Linked DNA regions of Arabidopsis thaliana. The protein of the gene in region 1 binds, or shares a complex with, the protein of each later gene. Each region holds a gene or a part of one and is shown in the gene's direction. Other genes may lie near its edges. The genes, in order: AT5G09830 and CXIP1.

Region 1 (5,727 bases):
CCGAATCATTGTGGATACGCATGAGCTGTTTTGTTTAATTATTGTATTAAAATATGTATACATAGCCTTTAATGGTAATTAATATTGGTATATTTTAAGGGAACAAGACAAGATTAGGCTTAAATAATAAGATCAATTTTCTTTTCTTTATCCATTTCTTAAGTACTTTTATTGGTGTGTGTTTTTAATCGAGTGTCCATTGAGAAGACTCAAGTGACAAAGATGATTCACCAAGCAACTCCACATGTATGTCACAACATTTCATTAAATACTTTTCTCTTACTCCTATTTAATAATTACTCCTTAGATACATCTTTCTGACAACAATTATAAACTTTTTTAGAATTACTAAAATGAAACTACTGGCACAAATTGAAACCCCCGAAATTTTCATTTTTTATTTATAAAAAAAACTGTATAAACATTATGGTCAACAATAAATTATATACCAAATCTAGTTTTGGTTTGTTAACTATTTAATACCTAACTTATAACCAAAAAGCATGTCATTATCACTTTTAAACTCTTCATTTAATCTAATCGAATAAAATGTTTAAATAACTCCATCTTTTATGGAGTACATTTTATTTTTCTATTTCTATTCATTCATTCCGTGCTTTACACATCAACGTTGAAATTAAGAACCAAAATTTAATTTAAAAAATCACGTAATACAGTAAAACCTATCAATAAATGCATACGATGCGACTTGCCACTGAAAAGAGTTTGAACCATATTAATCTTATTTCTCCTTAACCGGATTCGGTTTACCATAGACCAAACCCAAAACCGGCTTCAACTAATTACACTCAATTCCTCGGGAGATTGTTAATTAAACAGTAAACAACCCTCTGACTCACTAGACTTCTGAATCTTTCACAAAAGAATACGTCTTTGTAGGCTTTTGCTTTCTACCGTTGCTTACAAGCTTCCTCTCCACCGGATTCTCCTTCAATTCTCCATCTTTATTTGTGTAATAAGAATCCAGAATTTGCAATAACGAGCTCTCTTTACCTTCTTTACTCATCATCTGTTGCTTCTTCTTCTCTGGGTTATCTCTCTCTGAACCAGAATCTTCTTCATCCTCTGAGAGTGATGGTTCATATACTGGAAGCTTTTTGGTCGTCGGGTGGGTAGTTGTTGTATCAGAAACTGGACCAAGTTCTGCGAATGCCAAGTCCGAATCATCTTCTTTTGACTTGGCATTTGGTGAAGGAGTTGAAGGAAAGATGTATCCAGATGCTATTCTCACTCCATGCATGACTCGAATCAGAGACTGCAGGTTGTCGTAACCGAGCTTGTCAACCGCTAAATGGTACCCATACTCCTCTAAGAAGTCTTTCCTGAAACGAATCAGGCTATACCCTTCAGGGTGTTCCTCTGTTATCTTCTTTATCATCTTCTGACAATCCGCTATTGCATTACTTTTGTATCTTTCCAGCTCTTTCCGGTCCACAGAACCAACAGAAACTCCAGCATGAGCAACGTTCTTGCCGCTTTTCTCACCATTTTGTTTCTGCCACTGTGATTTTGAAGAATCCGAGAAGATTGAGCTCAAACCGTTTGAAGCATGACGGTGGCCAGGGCTAGATCCTTTGATGATTCTGAATGGTAAAGAAGAAGATGGGGTTTCTTCAATCCATTTCTTTTCTGATATTAGCAAAGTAACTAAATGAAGCATGCTTGATTCATCGAGCAGTCTGAGACACGAAGGCCCTTCCTCCTGCACATTTTTAGCCATCACCTCCCTGACCAGGTTAAGACGGAACAGCATTAGCTGAATACTCGTCCCAAAAAAGACAACAAATGGCTAATGCAAGAACCAATTGTAATAGTTCTGAACCTAAGATAGATTTACATATTAATCAATATCTAATCAAAGTCCTGCCAAATCAGGAGGGAAGAGAATGTACGCACCTTGTCCTCGAGTGAGATACTATAGCAAAGCCTCTTGGAGAATTAATGAAAGATTCAATATCACTCCAAAAATACTCTTTTGCAAATATGTCTTGTACTTGAGAATCAACATTGACAAGCTCCTGATTCCCACTAGAGTCTTTGCTAGACTTTGTATTCTTTCCCCAGAACTTGAAACTCTTCAAAAGGCGACCTAAAAAGCCTGGACTTGCATCTTTATCTTTACTGTCTACGTCATCAGCTCCAACTTTTACCTCATCGACCGACTCAGCAACGAAAGAAGGTGAGATTTGAGACATGGGCACAGTTCCCTGACTCGATGACTTTAAGTCCTTATCCTCTTTATGTTTGTTTCCACTTCCCTGACTTGATGACTTTAAGTCATTATCCTCTCTATGTGTGTCTCCACTTCCAGAAACGCTCTTCATTTCTGGGAGATGCTCTAATTCCATCTCAGGTGAACCATACCACAGTCTTTTTAGCTTTTGAAAAAAGCCATCTTCCATGGACGAATCACTCCACGCAACAAGAGCGACTTGATTCGTCTCGACGGGTTTAACATTTGCCTTAACATCCTTCTGGCCGACCAGAATTGGGTCTTGAGAACTCTCTGATGATTCTTCTTTAACAATTTTATCACTCTCCAATACCTTTTCCTGCTTCTTTCCAAGTAAGCCATCTCTTCTTCTTTCAGCAGCAAGCTCTACATCGCTAATTAGCTTTGGTGATGGAGCATTAACAGTTTCCTTATCTTTAATCTTCTGATCAACAGCAGTAGACAAACGAGGACTAGAATCAAGCCGCATCGGAGGCTTCTTTTCGGTAACAGCCCGAATCATAAACAAGCCTTCACTTACTGTAGTAACCTGTAAGATATCTGGCATGGATAAAAGAAACTTCGAAAACTTCTTATGTCCATAGAAATCTTTATCAATAGCCAAGTTGCTCTTACTCAGCTCAGCACGTAGTTCTGTAATGGCAGCCCCCTTGGGATATAAACTCACTATCGAACGAATCTTATCAACAACTTCTTTTGGAATAGGACGAAGGTTAACAACAGCATTCGAATTCACAGACTCGGATAGTTCTTCGATTTTCACACTAGACGAAGATTGCTCAGTAGTGGTAGCAATAGCAAATGGATCAAGAAGAGGAATCCTATAGTGACCATACCAAGAGTTATAAGGACCATCAGGAGGCTGATTAAAATGCTTACCAGTAACACACTCTCCTTTAATCAAAGCATCCCAATCCCACATAATAGAAGCAGCACTACACAAAACACCAGGAGCTGATGATTTACTCGCAAGCAAAATGTTGTAATTGTTCATCCTCAATCTATGTAACACACTTGCAAACTCCTTATCACTAGAGATTAGCAAAAGATGAGCTGGTGGTGGATTCTGAGAAACCCAACACATAAGATCTGTGATTAGAGATCTATCAGCACTGTTCTTACCACCGTTAGGAACATGAGTGAGACTGATTCCTGTAGCGGAGAGAGCGTCTTGGTTTGATCTGGGGAGCTGTAAAACGTCACCGAAGGCTGTGATTGTGATTGGTCCTTTGATTCCGCTGTTTCTGATAGCGGCGGTGATTGATTGTGCTACTTTGTAGACATTGGTGTCTACAGGTAAGTTACAGCTCAGGAAGTCCCACCAGACCGAAACCCTAACGGATCGGGACTCTTCGTCTTGCTGAGGACGTCGAGAGGGAGAATGGCTGGATCCGGAGACGAAATTGGAGCCGGAGGTGGTTGTGGTGGAGAATGGAGAGGAATGAATGTTAGTGATGAAAAGGGTAATTGTTCGACGGTGAGATTGGGTTGTGGAGGAAGAAGAGAGGCGGAAGAGAAGGGATTTGGATGGTAAAGATCCAAACTTCATGGTCGGAGAGCTATTTTTGCTCCGGGAAATGGAGAGACTGAGAGGGTTTTAGGAGTGAGGAAGACGAAGTAAAGGAAAGCAGAGCTTAAACCCTAGTTATTATTTTGGAATTGTCGATAACCGAATGGTATCCCAATTGAACCAAACTAAACCGTACTCTCGCTAAACCAAAACCAAATAGCGTATGGTTTAATATTCTAATTCAATGAGTACAGTAATTAGGGATTTCAATTTTTGTTTGAGAGAGAGAGAGAGAGATGGTGACGAAGGAGCAAGTCGAAGCTTCATTGACTTCGAAACTTAAGCCAATTCATCTCGTGAGTGTTCTTATACTGCTTTCTTCTTTCAATTTCATCTATTGATTAGGGTTTGAAACTTTTGTGGGAAACTTTGAAACCCTAATCATCAAATTGATCTGGGAAAATTGCCAAATTTGAGATTTTTGACCTGCTCACTTTGATCAAAATCATACACTTTGATAGTTGGATCATAAGAGGTACTATGTATTGTAATAATCTCAGCATCTAGATTATACATCACTATGTGTTGTCTTTCAGCTCTGAAACAGAATATAAAAGGTGGTTGTTTGCGTAGTTAGGTGTAATTTGATGCAGTGTGATACTGAGCTCAGGATTTGATGACGTAGTGTTCCTGATGTATTAGCAACTTAGTAGTGAGTGTTCTTGTCGGAAAATTTTATTTGTGTCATGGTTTTTTGTGAACTAGAACTCAAAAAGCAGATCCAAGGATGTGTATAGTTTCTTTGCTTTATAACATGTGAAGATTGAAGTTACTTCAATGTCAATCTATTTCCCTTTTCACTTGATTCATGTGTTCCAATTGTTTCAATCTTTAGCTTTTAGAATTTTTTAGTGACATTGTTTGTTTTTGTGTGTACCAGGAAGTCATTGACATATCTGGAGGGTAAGTACCGGATTGTCAATACACATTTGATTCTCTGGCTTATGGCATAATTTCTTGTTCTTAATATCAGCAAAACTGTTTATTGCAGTTGTGGTTCGAGTTTTGAAGTGGAGGTTGTCTCTGAACAATTCGAAGGGAAGAGATTGCTGGAGAGGCATCGTATGGTGAATGCTGCGCTAGAAGAAGAAATGAAAGAGATTCATGCTCTCTCTATTAAGAAAGCTCAGACTCCACAACAATGGAAGCCACCATCACAAGACTCTGCAACCTTAACCAAAGATGCCTGAATTTCTGTTTTTTAAAAGCCTTGTGACAAAGAACAGAGCATTTACTATGTTGATACTTTGTGGTTACTGTACTCCGATTACTGCTTTTGATGAAGTGTAAACACTTTTTTAAAACATATGCAATTGGTTGCAAAATATAACAAAAATTGGGTTTTTCTCAATTTAGATGGAGATTTTTTTGAGAATTTTACCATGACACCATCTTAAAAAAGAAAAAAAAGACCAATGGGATTGGCTAAATTTTATAATAGAGTCAGTGCAGTGTATGGTGGGGGGGAGAGATAGATGCTAAAAGATGGATAAAATAACCAAAAAAAACTGTCCATTCTCCTCCCCATAAATCTATCTCTCTCTCTTTTTCCTCAAATCCCATCTTCTTCTTCTACTTCTTATTAAGCTCCATTGGGTTTAGAGATTCTGGTGTATAAACTGCTAATGACGAGTAACCTTTTCCAGCCACCATCAATGGCAGCTTCACGAGGAGCAATCTCGAGAAGAACAGGAAACGTGAAAGTATTAGTCTCTTTCACCAGTTCTAATGGCAAAACGCTGAGTTTTAGTGACAACTCATTTAGGCTCAGACCCATGTTCATCGGGAAAGTCACAGAACAGAGTTCTTGTTCCTCCCCAAATGAACAACAACAAGATGAAGAACAAGAACAAGAACAAGAAGAGATTACAGTTTCTCATATAAAAGAAGAGCTCTACGAAGC
Region 2 (7,474 bases), on another chromosome or scaffold:
CATAACCTCGTCGTGGTGGGTGAAGTAATTGTTAGATATAGTTATAGCTGTAGAACCCATCACAGCATCAATTAGCCCGTCGGTGCAATGACTCATTGAACAATGATCAACCCAGATCTTCTGAGATCCGAAGATCGAGATCCCATCTCCATCGGATCTACCACGTTTCTCGAATCCAGCTGAAGGTTTACAGTCATAGATATGGAGGTTGTGGATGATGATGTGTTGAACGTATTGGAGAGTTAAGCAACCGTTTCCGGTAATGTGAACGGCTGAGCCACGACCATCTAAGGTTTTGTAGCTGTTGATGATGAGTTCTTGTTTTAGTCTGATGAGCATGTTTGAAGAGAAGACGATCCAGAGTGGCTCTTCTTGGATTACGCCGTAACGGAGTGTTCCTGGTGTTGGGTTTGTTGGGTTGTTGTCGGATGAGTCAGTTACGACGTAGATCTTGCCGTTTTTGCCTCCGAGTGTGCCGTGTCCGAAGCCGATTGAACAGTCTGCTAGTCTTTGTCGGTTTGTTGACCAGTCTGCGTCGCTGCATCTCCAGCAATCGTCGATTGGGTTTCCGGTACGGCAAGAGGATGATGATGAGGAGGATGATGATGATGAGGATGATGATGGTGAGCTTAGTTGTCTTCTTGCAAGAGATTCATTTACACTCCTGTGAATTTCGGAGAAGAAAGTTTGAGTTTTTATTTTATCTGGGAAAATGTGTAATGAGAGAGGGAGGAGCTTTTGTTTACCTGATGACATGGAGAGCGACGGAATCAGGGGAAGGGTGTTGGTGAGGGAGAGTGAGATTTAGGGGTTTAGTGGCGGAGAGGAGTGTGAAGAAGAGGCAGAGAAGGAAAATGGTGTTGGAGAAGTTTTGAAGAAGCATCGTTAGTGGCGGATTTTGACTTGGTGTTGCTAGATTTAGCTGTGGAAGTTGCAGTGTGTGTGTTGAGTGTCAGAAGAAGAATGTTGGTAGAGAAATGTGAAGAGAGAGTAGCAGAGAAGGATTTGAAATCCACATAAGGGAGAAGAGGAGGAGAAGAAGAAGAAGCTGCTTTCTCTCTCACACTCTCTCTCTCTCTGCTTCTCTGCCCTCTTGCTGGAAACAGGGCTAATAGGTTTTCTTGAGATTTTGATTCTGTTTCTCTTGGGGATTTGTGTCCACTTGCATTCTGGAGGAGATTGGTTTACTATTTGGGTCTCAAATTTTGGTAAGCAAGCTCGTATTTTATATTGGGCCTCTCATTTCTCGTCAAAGTCGTCGCTAAAGCAAGTTTGTAATTAAACACCCAAGTTAAATGGGCGTATAACATAAAAGTTAGGCCCATAACCAGGCCCATCGTTTATGGTAATTAAACACCTAAATTAAATGGACGCCGAACGCTTTGATGAGTGGGTCAGTGGCCAGTGTGAGTATCAACGGTGAGGACAACACTTTGTCGTTCCGATGCTCAGCGATTGTGGTATCTTCTGATAAACCAACTTGTTCATATTCCTTTTTCCTTGCTATGTACCATTCAAGCTTCGTTTACATTTACCCTTTCTTGATTCCTAGTTCAGACTACCATTCTACTAGATTTGAAAAGGATATACAGTTCTTTGGGCACTGAAAATTTCTCAGCTTCACCTAACAATCTAGCTTGTTTCTAAGGTTTAGTACTGTTCCTCTTTGTGTCCGAGTTTTCACTTGTTTACTAATTGGCTTCTTTAGCTTTATGAGCCTGAAAGATGTTATCTTCTTTCTTATTAGGGTCCCAAGTTCTGTCGACAGTAACAACAGTAACTTGGGGTTTCGGGTTTCAAGATATGGATAGATTCAGTGAGTTATCTGATGAAGTGCTTATTAAGATATTATTGTTTGTTCCAACAAAATTGCTGTATCCACTAGCATTTTGTCGAAAAGATGGGAGTATCTTTGGATGTGGTTGCCTAAACTTAAGTATGGTCATAGAGATTCTTCTGAATGCAAGAGGTTGGAGTGTTTTCTTGACAAAAATCTGCCATTACATAGAGCTCCGGTTATAGAAAGCTTCCGTCTTTACTTAATTGATTCAAAATGCACACCTGAGAATATCAAGATGTGGGTTGTTATAGCAGTTTCTCACTGCCTGCGTGAGCTGGAGGTTATTTATTCTTCATATCCGGAGAAGCCAAACATATTGCCGAGTAACTTGTATACCTGCAAATCGCTTGTGATCTTGGAACTCTGTGGCGAGATTCGCTTGGATGTTCCTCGAATGGCATTTCTTCCCTCTCTGAAAACTTTGCAACTTCACAGCGTGAGATACCTCAATGAAGACTCTCTTCATCGGCTTCTATCTAACTGCCCTGTTCTTGAAGATCTATTGGTGGATTTACTTTTGTCAGACAGCATGGAAAAGCTAACTGTTGTTGTCCCATCTTTGCAGATTTTATCACTCTTTATACCTCATTCTTATGAGATCGATGGGATTGTGATAGAAACTCCTTCTTTAAAGTATTTTAAACTTATAGACCATAACAGTAAGAGTCACTACTGTTTGGTTAAGAATATGCCTAACCTGATAGAGGCAGATATAGATGTTGAATTACATAGCATCAAGAGTCTTATTGGATCAATCACATCTGTCAAGCGTCTTTCAATATGTTCACAGGTATCATTTTCTCAACTCATTGTTTAGATATGCATTTGCTGATAATTTTTAATATTGCGCAGGCTATGTATGATGGAGGTTTTGTCTTCAACCAGCTTAAACATCTGAAGCTATGTAGATGCAAAGGGCATTCGTCGGATTTACTTGTCCGACTGCTCAAAGATTCTTCTAACTTACAAGCACTAGACCTTTCCGAAATGGATGTAAGTTTGTTCGTCAAACTCTTTTTTCTTGTCTGATGCACATTATGGTTTTAGTGTAATTCTTCTTCTGTTTGATCTGTAATTCTTCTTCTGTTTGATCTGTAATTCTTCTTCTGTTTGATCTCAGTATCATGAGAATCATGATATCCTTTACTGGCATCAACCAAGTACTGTCCCTGAATGTATGTTGTTGAGTCTCCAAACTCTCAACTTGTCGGCATATAGAGGAACACCAGAAGAGAGAGATCTTGCAGTGTATTTCTTGAAGAACGCTGTTCACTTGAAGACCACAACAATCAAGTCATGTGTTTTTGATGATGAAAGATTTGACATGTTAAAGGAGTTGGCACTTTCTTCTAGAGCTTCAACAACATGCCAACTCGTGTTTGATTGAGAGTATTTGATCACCAAAACAAAGCTTGTTCTTCAGTTCTTCCATGTCCCCGGGCTCGTATGGTTTGTCTTCAACCTGAAAATTTGTTTTCGTCAACCATCTTTTTCTATGTTTTCCGTTTTTTTTGTATGTGATAAAAACTTTATTCTATATGTTGTCCACCAAAAAACAAATTATGTTGATTGGAGAAGTTATATGATAAGTTTTAATCGTTTATGGGGTTTTATAGGTGTGTAGAGATATATACATACCTTGTGAATGAAGAAAAGAGAACTAGCTCTGTGTTGAAAAACTGAAAAGCATTTGATGCCCTGATAATTTCTCTAAAATTATTAAACCGAAATACTAATACGATCCAAGTGGAACCAACCAATTTCTTAATATCTAAAATACCGGAATCTAAAGAGTCGAACCAAACCGAACCGGAATGTCCTCTAATTTTTATTTTTAAACCCATGATTATGACATGCACTACCGGCTTAGTGGTGATGTTTGGCAACATGGTTTATTCAATTCTCACTCGCACTGAGTGTCTGTGGCTCATAAATCATTTACCTTTTCAATTTCTCAATTCCAAATCTAAAAGTCGTCAAAAATGGCTCTCCGATCTGTCAAAACGCCGACCTTGATAACTTCGGTCGCCGTCGTCTCCTCCTCCGTTACCAACAAGCCTCACTCTATCAGATTCTCTCTTAAACCAACGTCGGCACTCGTCGTCCATAACCATCAGCTATCGTTCTACGGTTCGAATCTCAAGCTGAAACCAACTAAATTCCGATGCTCAGCGTCGGCTCTTACGCCGCAACTTAAAGACACGCTGGAGAAACTGGTGAATTCGGAGAAAGTGGTTCTGTTTATGAAAGGAACGAGAGACTTCCCGATGTGTGGATTCTCCAACACTGTGGTTCAGATTTTGAAGAATCTGAATGTTCCTTTCGAAGATGTGAATATTCTGGAGAATGAGATGTTGAGGCAAGGACTTAAAGAGTATTCGAATTGGCCGACGTTTCCTCAGCTTTATATCGGCGGTGAGTTTTTCGGTGGTTGTGATATTACTCTTGAGGCGTTTAAGACTGGAGAATTGCAGGAAGAGGTGGAGAAAGCTATGTGCTCTTGATCCTGATTTCAATACTTGGTTTTTGTGATGATGGAATTTGATCTTATCTATCTATCTATCACCTGGGAAAAAAAATGTGATTTTGATGTTTCAGAGTTTGTGGTTGTAACATTAAGAGACATATATTGTATGATGGATTTAGGTATACAACAGTTGGAGTTGCTTGGAATTTGAGTTTCCTTTGTCATATGTGTTGGCCTGCAAATTTGTGTTGTTTGTTGAAAGGTTTATGTGTGAAGTAGTGCTAGTAGAATCTAAGTTTGTTTCTGACTAAGAGACATGAAGTCATGGGTTGTTATGCTCATTCATATCCTGATTGAGATACAATTTAAAGAAACTTAGTTCCAAAGATTCTGAACATTCACCGGTACAGTGTGTCTGCAAATGGTATTCTGTCTCACTTCAATGTCTAAACACGTTGTCTCAAAATGTATCGTTTGTTAGATACTCCTTTCAAGACATATGATTTAGCCTCGCATGTGTTCGTTGATCCAAGTTTTACCGGTTTGATAAGTCTCCAGTCTTAGCAATAAATCCAGACCGGATTCATGACCAATCGCAGATTTACCGGTCCGGGTCAAGTTTTAAAACATTAGTAGAAATGTGTTTCACCGAACAGGAAGACTTATCTGATAGCATCTCGTTGCAGTGGATAAATGGCAAAATAGTAATATACGTAGATTCTGCTTTTATCTGAACCACATAGTGCAGATGGATATCGAACAGAAGAACATGATATCGAGAAGACACGTGGCCCAATGAAAAAGCCACGCAGGCTCTGTATAGCCAATTGCAATCTGGTTTTAGATTCTCATCTCACAAATCTTACTTATACGATCAGTCTCCCACATTCACACTTCCACCAAACACCTCTCGTCCACATCTTTCTCCTTTGGTGGCAAACACAACGACAGATAGAGAGAAACGATGGCGTCGAACTCGCTTATGAGCTGTGGCATAGCCGCCGTGTACCCTTCGCTTCTCTCTTCTTCCAAGTCTAAATTCGTATCCGCCGGAGTTCCACTCCCAAACGCCGGGAATGTTGGTCGTATCAGAATGGCTGCTCACTGGATGCCTGGCGAGCCACGACCAGCTTACCTTGACGGTTCTGCTCCTGGGTACGCTTCGAACCCTTTTACTCTGTTTTGTTGCTCAGTTTGGAATCAGAATTGTTTGTTAGATTACTCTGTTTTGATGACATGATGCAACATTGTACGTTTTGTGAAAGATTCAATTTTTTTTATGTTATTGGGTATTCATATTTCAGAAAGTTGTCTCCTTTCAGAATTTGAATTCCCTTTAGTTGTGTATTCAGAGATTCTAGATAGATTACTGGAACCTCTTTTGATGACTTAAGGGTTCTGATTTCAACATTGGAGGTTGTTTAGAAAGTTTCAGTTTTTCTAAGTTATTGGGTACAACATTGTGCAGTGACTTTGGGTTTGACCCACTTGGACTTGGAGAAGTTCCAGCGAACCTTGAGAGATACAAAGAGTCAGAGCTCATCCACTGTAGATGGGCTATGCTCGCTGTTGTAAGTTTCAATATCCAATCTTTGTCTTATCATAAGGGTTTAGTCTTGTTAAGTTTAATCTAATGGACTTGGTGGGTGGTGTTGTAGCCTGGGATTTTGGTACCAGAAGCATTAGGATATGGAAACTGGGTTAAGGCTCAGGAATGGGCAGCACTACCAGGGGGTCAAGCCACTTACTTGGGAAACCCAGTCCCGTGGGGTACTTTGCCCACAATCTTGGCCATTGAGTTCTTAGCCATTGCATTTGTTGAGCACCAGAGAAGTATGGAGAAAGACCCTGAGAAGAAGAAGTACCCGGGAGGCGCATTTGACCCTCTTGGATACTCGAAGGACCCCAAGAAGCTCGAGGAATTGAAAGTTAAAGAGATCAAGAACGGTAAGCACACACAACAACTTACCTTTCTTGATCAAACTTATGTACAAATGTATATCTAATGTTGGTGTTTTTTGCTTGGTGGGTGTAACAGGGCGGCTTGCGCTGTTGGCGTTTGTAGGATTCTGTGTGCAACAGTCGGCTTACCCGGGGACAGGACCATTGGAGAACTTGGCAACTCACTTGGCGGATCCATGGCACAACAACATTGGCGATATTGTTATCCCTTTCAACTAATGAATGTAAAAATAGAAATATGTGTACCTTATGAGCTTTATGTGTATCAAAAACACTGTGTAATGAAAGACAGATTTGTGAATTCCTGTAATTTGTCTTGGTGATCGAATGCTCGTGTGAGCTTGAATTCTAAGTGATGAACCTTTTGAACCCAAATACACATTACATCTCATGCTTCCTACAGAAGAAACATTGTAAGCTCATGACTATTTGTTAGATTTCTCAACAATCACATTCACATACTATAAACTCCATAACAGAAGAAACATTGTTAGCTCATGATTATTTGTTAGAGTTCTCAACTCTATCCAAATATGCTTTTTGTTTATATCAACTTAGATAAATGGTTATTGAACCACACCAAGATACATGCATTTTACATTTGAGTTTTGATGAATATTTTCTATTCATCTTTTTTCCCCCTCATTTTTACCTTCTACATTTTTTCATATTGAACAAAAACAATCCTGTTAATTTTCTTCCCTCTCTTTTCTAGTAAAATCATTTAAGGATTTTTTTTGAAATTAGTTGATGTCTTTCTTATCACATTTGTTCTATACTTCTACTAATTTTTCTTTTGTTCTTTTGCATACTAATCTTCACCTACAAAATAGAGTACTCTCTAAACAGAGTCTTGGAAAGTTTTGTCTTCCTTTTATATTCTCAACTATAAAGTTTAAATGAGACATAGTTCTAGAAAATAACATCTTTGACATTCAATGGTTCCCTTAATTATATATTGAGCTAGAATTTGAAGAAAAATCAATACCACATTAATGTTTACAGATTTTAATTCATATATGGCTTAGTATTCTATTATTATATGATTTTCTCAATTTAATTCATTAAAATCAAGTAATCAGAATTTCAAATAATTTATTTTATATTTCAAAAAACTTAAAGAAAACTTTAGATTTGACATGTGACAAAATTTTCACCATTCTCTTCCAATATAATAAAGAATGGAGCTATCTTCCTAATCATAT

The links.
Region 2: the proteins of AT5G09830 (region 1) and CXIP1 are in contact, whole or in part, in an NMR structure (PDB 2MMA), measured with the Arabidopsis thaliana proteins. Residues at the interface, in NP_568217.1 of Arabidopsis thaliana: Arg46 (codon at 4,868), Leu47 (codon at 4,871), Leu48 (codon at 4,874), Arg50 (codon at 4,880), His51 (codon at 4,883), Arg52 (codon at 4,886), Asn55 (codon at 4,895), Met62 (codon at 4,916), Ile65 (codon at 4,925), His66 (codon at 4,928), Ala67 (codon at 4,931), Leu68 (codon at 4,934), Ser69 (codon at 4,937), Ile70 (codon at 4,940), Lys71 (codon at 4,943), Gln74 (codon at 4,952), Gln78 (codon at 4,964); in NP_191050.1 of Arabidopsis thaliana: Lys130 (codon at 4,210), Ser133 (codon at 4,219), Asn134 (codon at 4,222), Trp135 (codon at 4,225), Pro136 (codon at 4,228), Thr137 (codon at 4,231), Glu146 (codon at 4,258), Phe147 (codon at 4,261), Phe148 (codon at 4,264), Asp152 (codon at 4,276), Ile153 (codon at 4,279), Glu156 (codon at 4,288), Ala157 (codon at 4,291), Thr160 (codon at 4,300), Glu162 (codon at 4,306), Glu165 (codon at 4,315), Glu166 (codon at 4,318).

The regions. Positions count from the first base shown.
Region 1 is NC_003076.8:3,057,103-3,062,829, reverse strand, and holds AT5G09830 (BolA-like family protein), read left to right. Parts: upstream 1-4,004; 5' UTR 4,005-4,060; coding exon 4,061-4,120; intron 4,121-4,704; coding exon 4,705-4,727; intron 4,728-4,815; coding exon 4,816-5,014; 3' UTR 5,015-5,227; downstream 5,228-5,727. Other genes in the region: AT5G09840 (Putative endonuclease or glycosyl hydrolase), read right to left, coding at 860-1,748, 1,918-3,803; AT5G09820 (Plastid-lipid associated protein PAP / fibrillin family protein), read left to right, coding at 5,450-5,727. UniProt on the Arabidopsis thaliana protein: May act either alone or in interaction with glutaredoxin as a redox-regulated transcriptional regulator, or as a factor regulating Fe-S cluster biogenesis. The GRXS17-BOLA2 heterodimer binds a labile, oxygen sensitive iron-sulfur cluster.
Region 2 is NC_003074.8:20,338,720-20,346,193, reverse strand, and holds CXIP1 (CAX interacting protein 1), read left to right. Parts: upstream 1-3,729; 5' UTR 3,730-3,822; coding exon 3,823-4,344; 3' UTR 4,345-4,837; downstream 4,838-7,474. Other genes in the region: PMR6 (Pectin lyase-like superfamily protein), read right to left, coding at 1-664, 747-883; AT3G54910 (RNI-like superfamily protein), read left to right, coding at 1,917-2,630, 2,693-2,833, 2,961-3,227; LHCA1 (chlorophyll a-b binding protein 6), read left to right, coding at 5,272-5,462, 5,776-5,878, 5,966-6,254, 6,346-6,488. UniProt on the Arabidopsis thaliana protein: May only reduce GSH-thiol disulfides, but not protein disulfides. Probably involved in the regulation of the redox state of the BOLA proteins. May act as Fe-S cluster donors to Fe-S cluster-requiring proteins.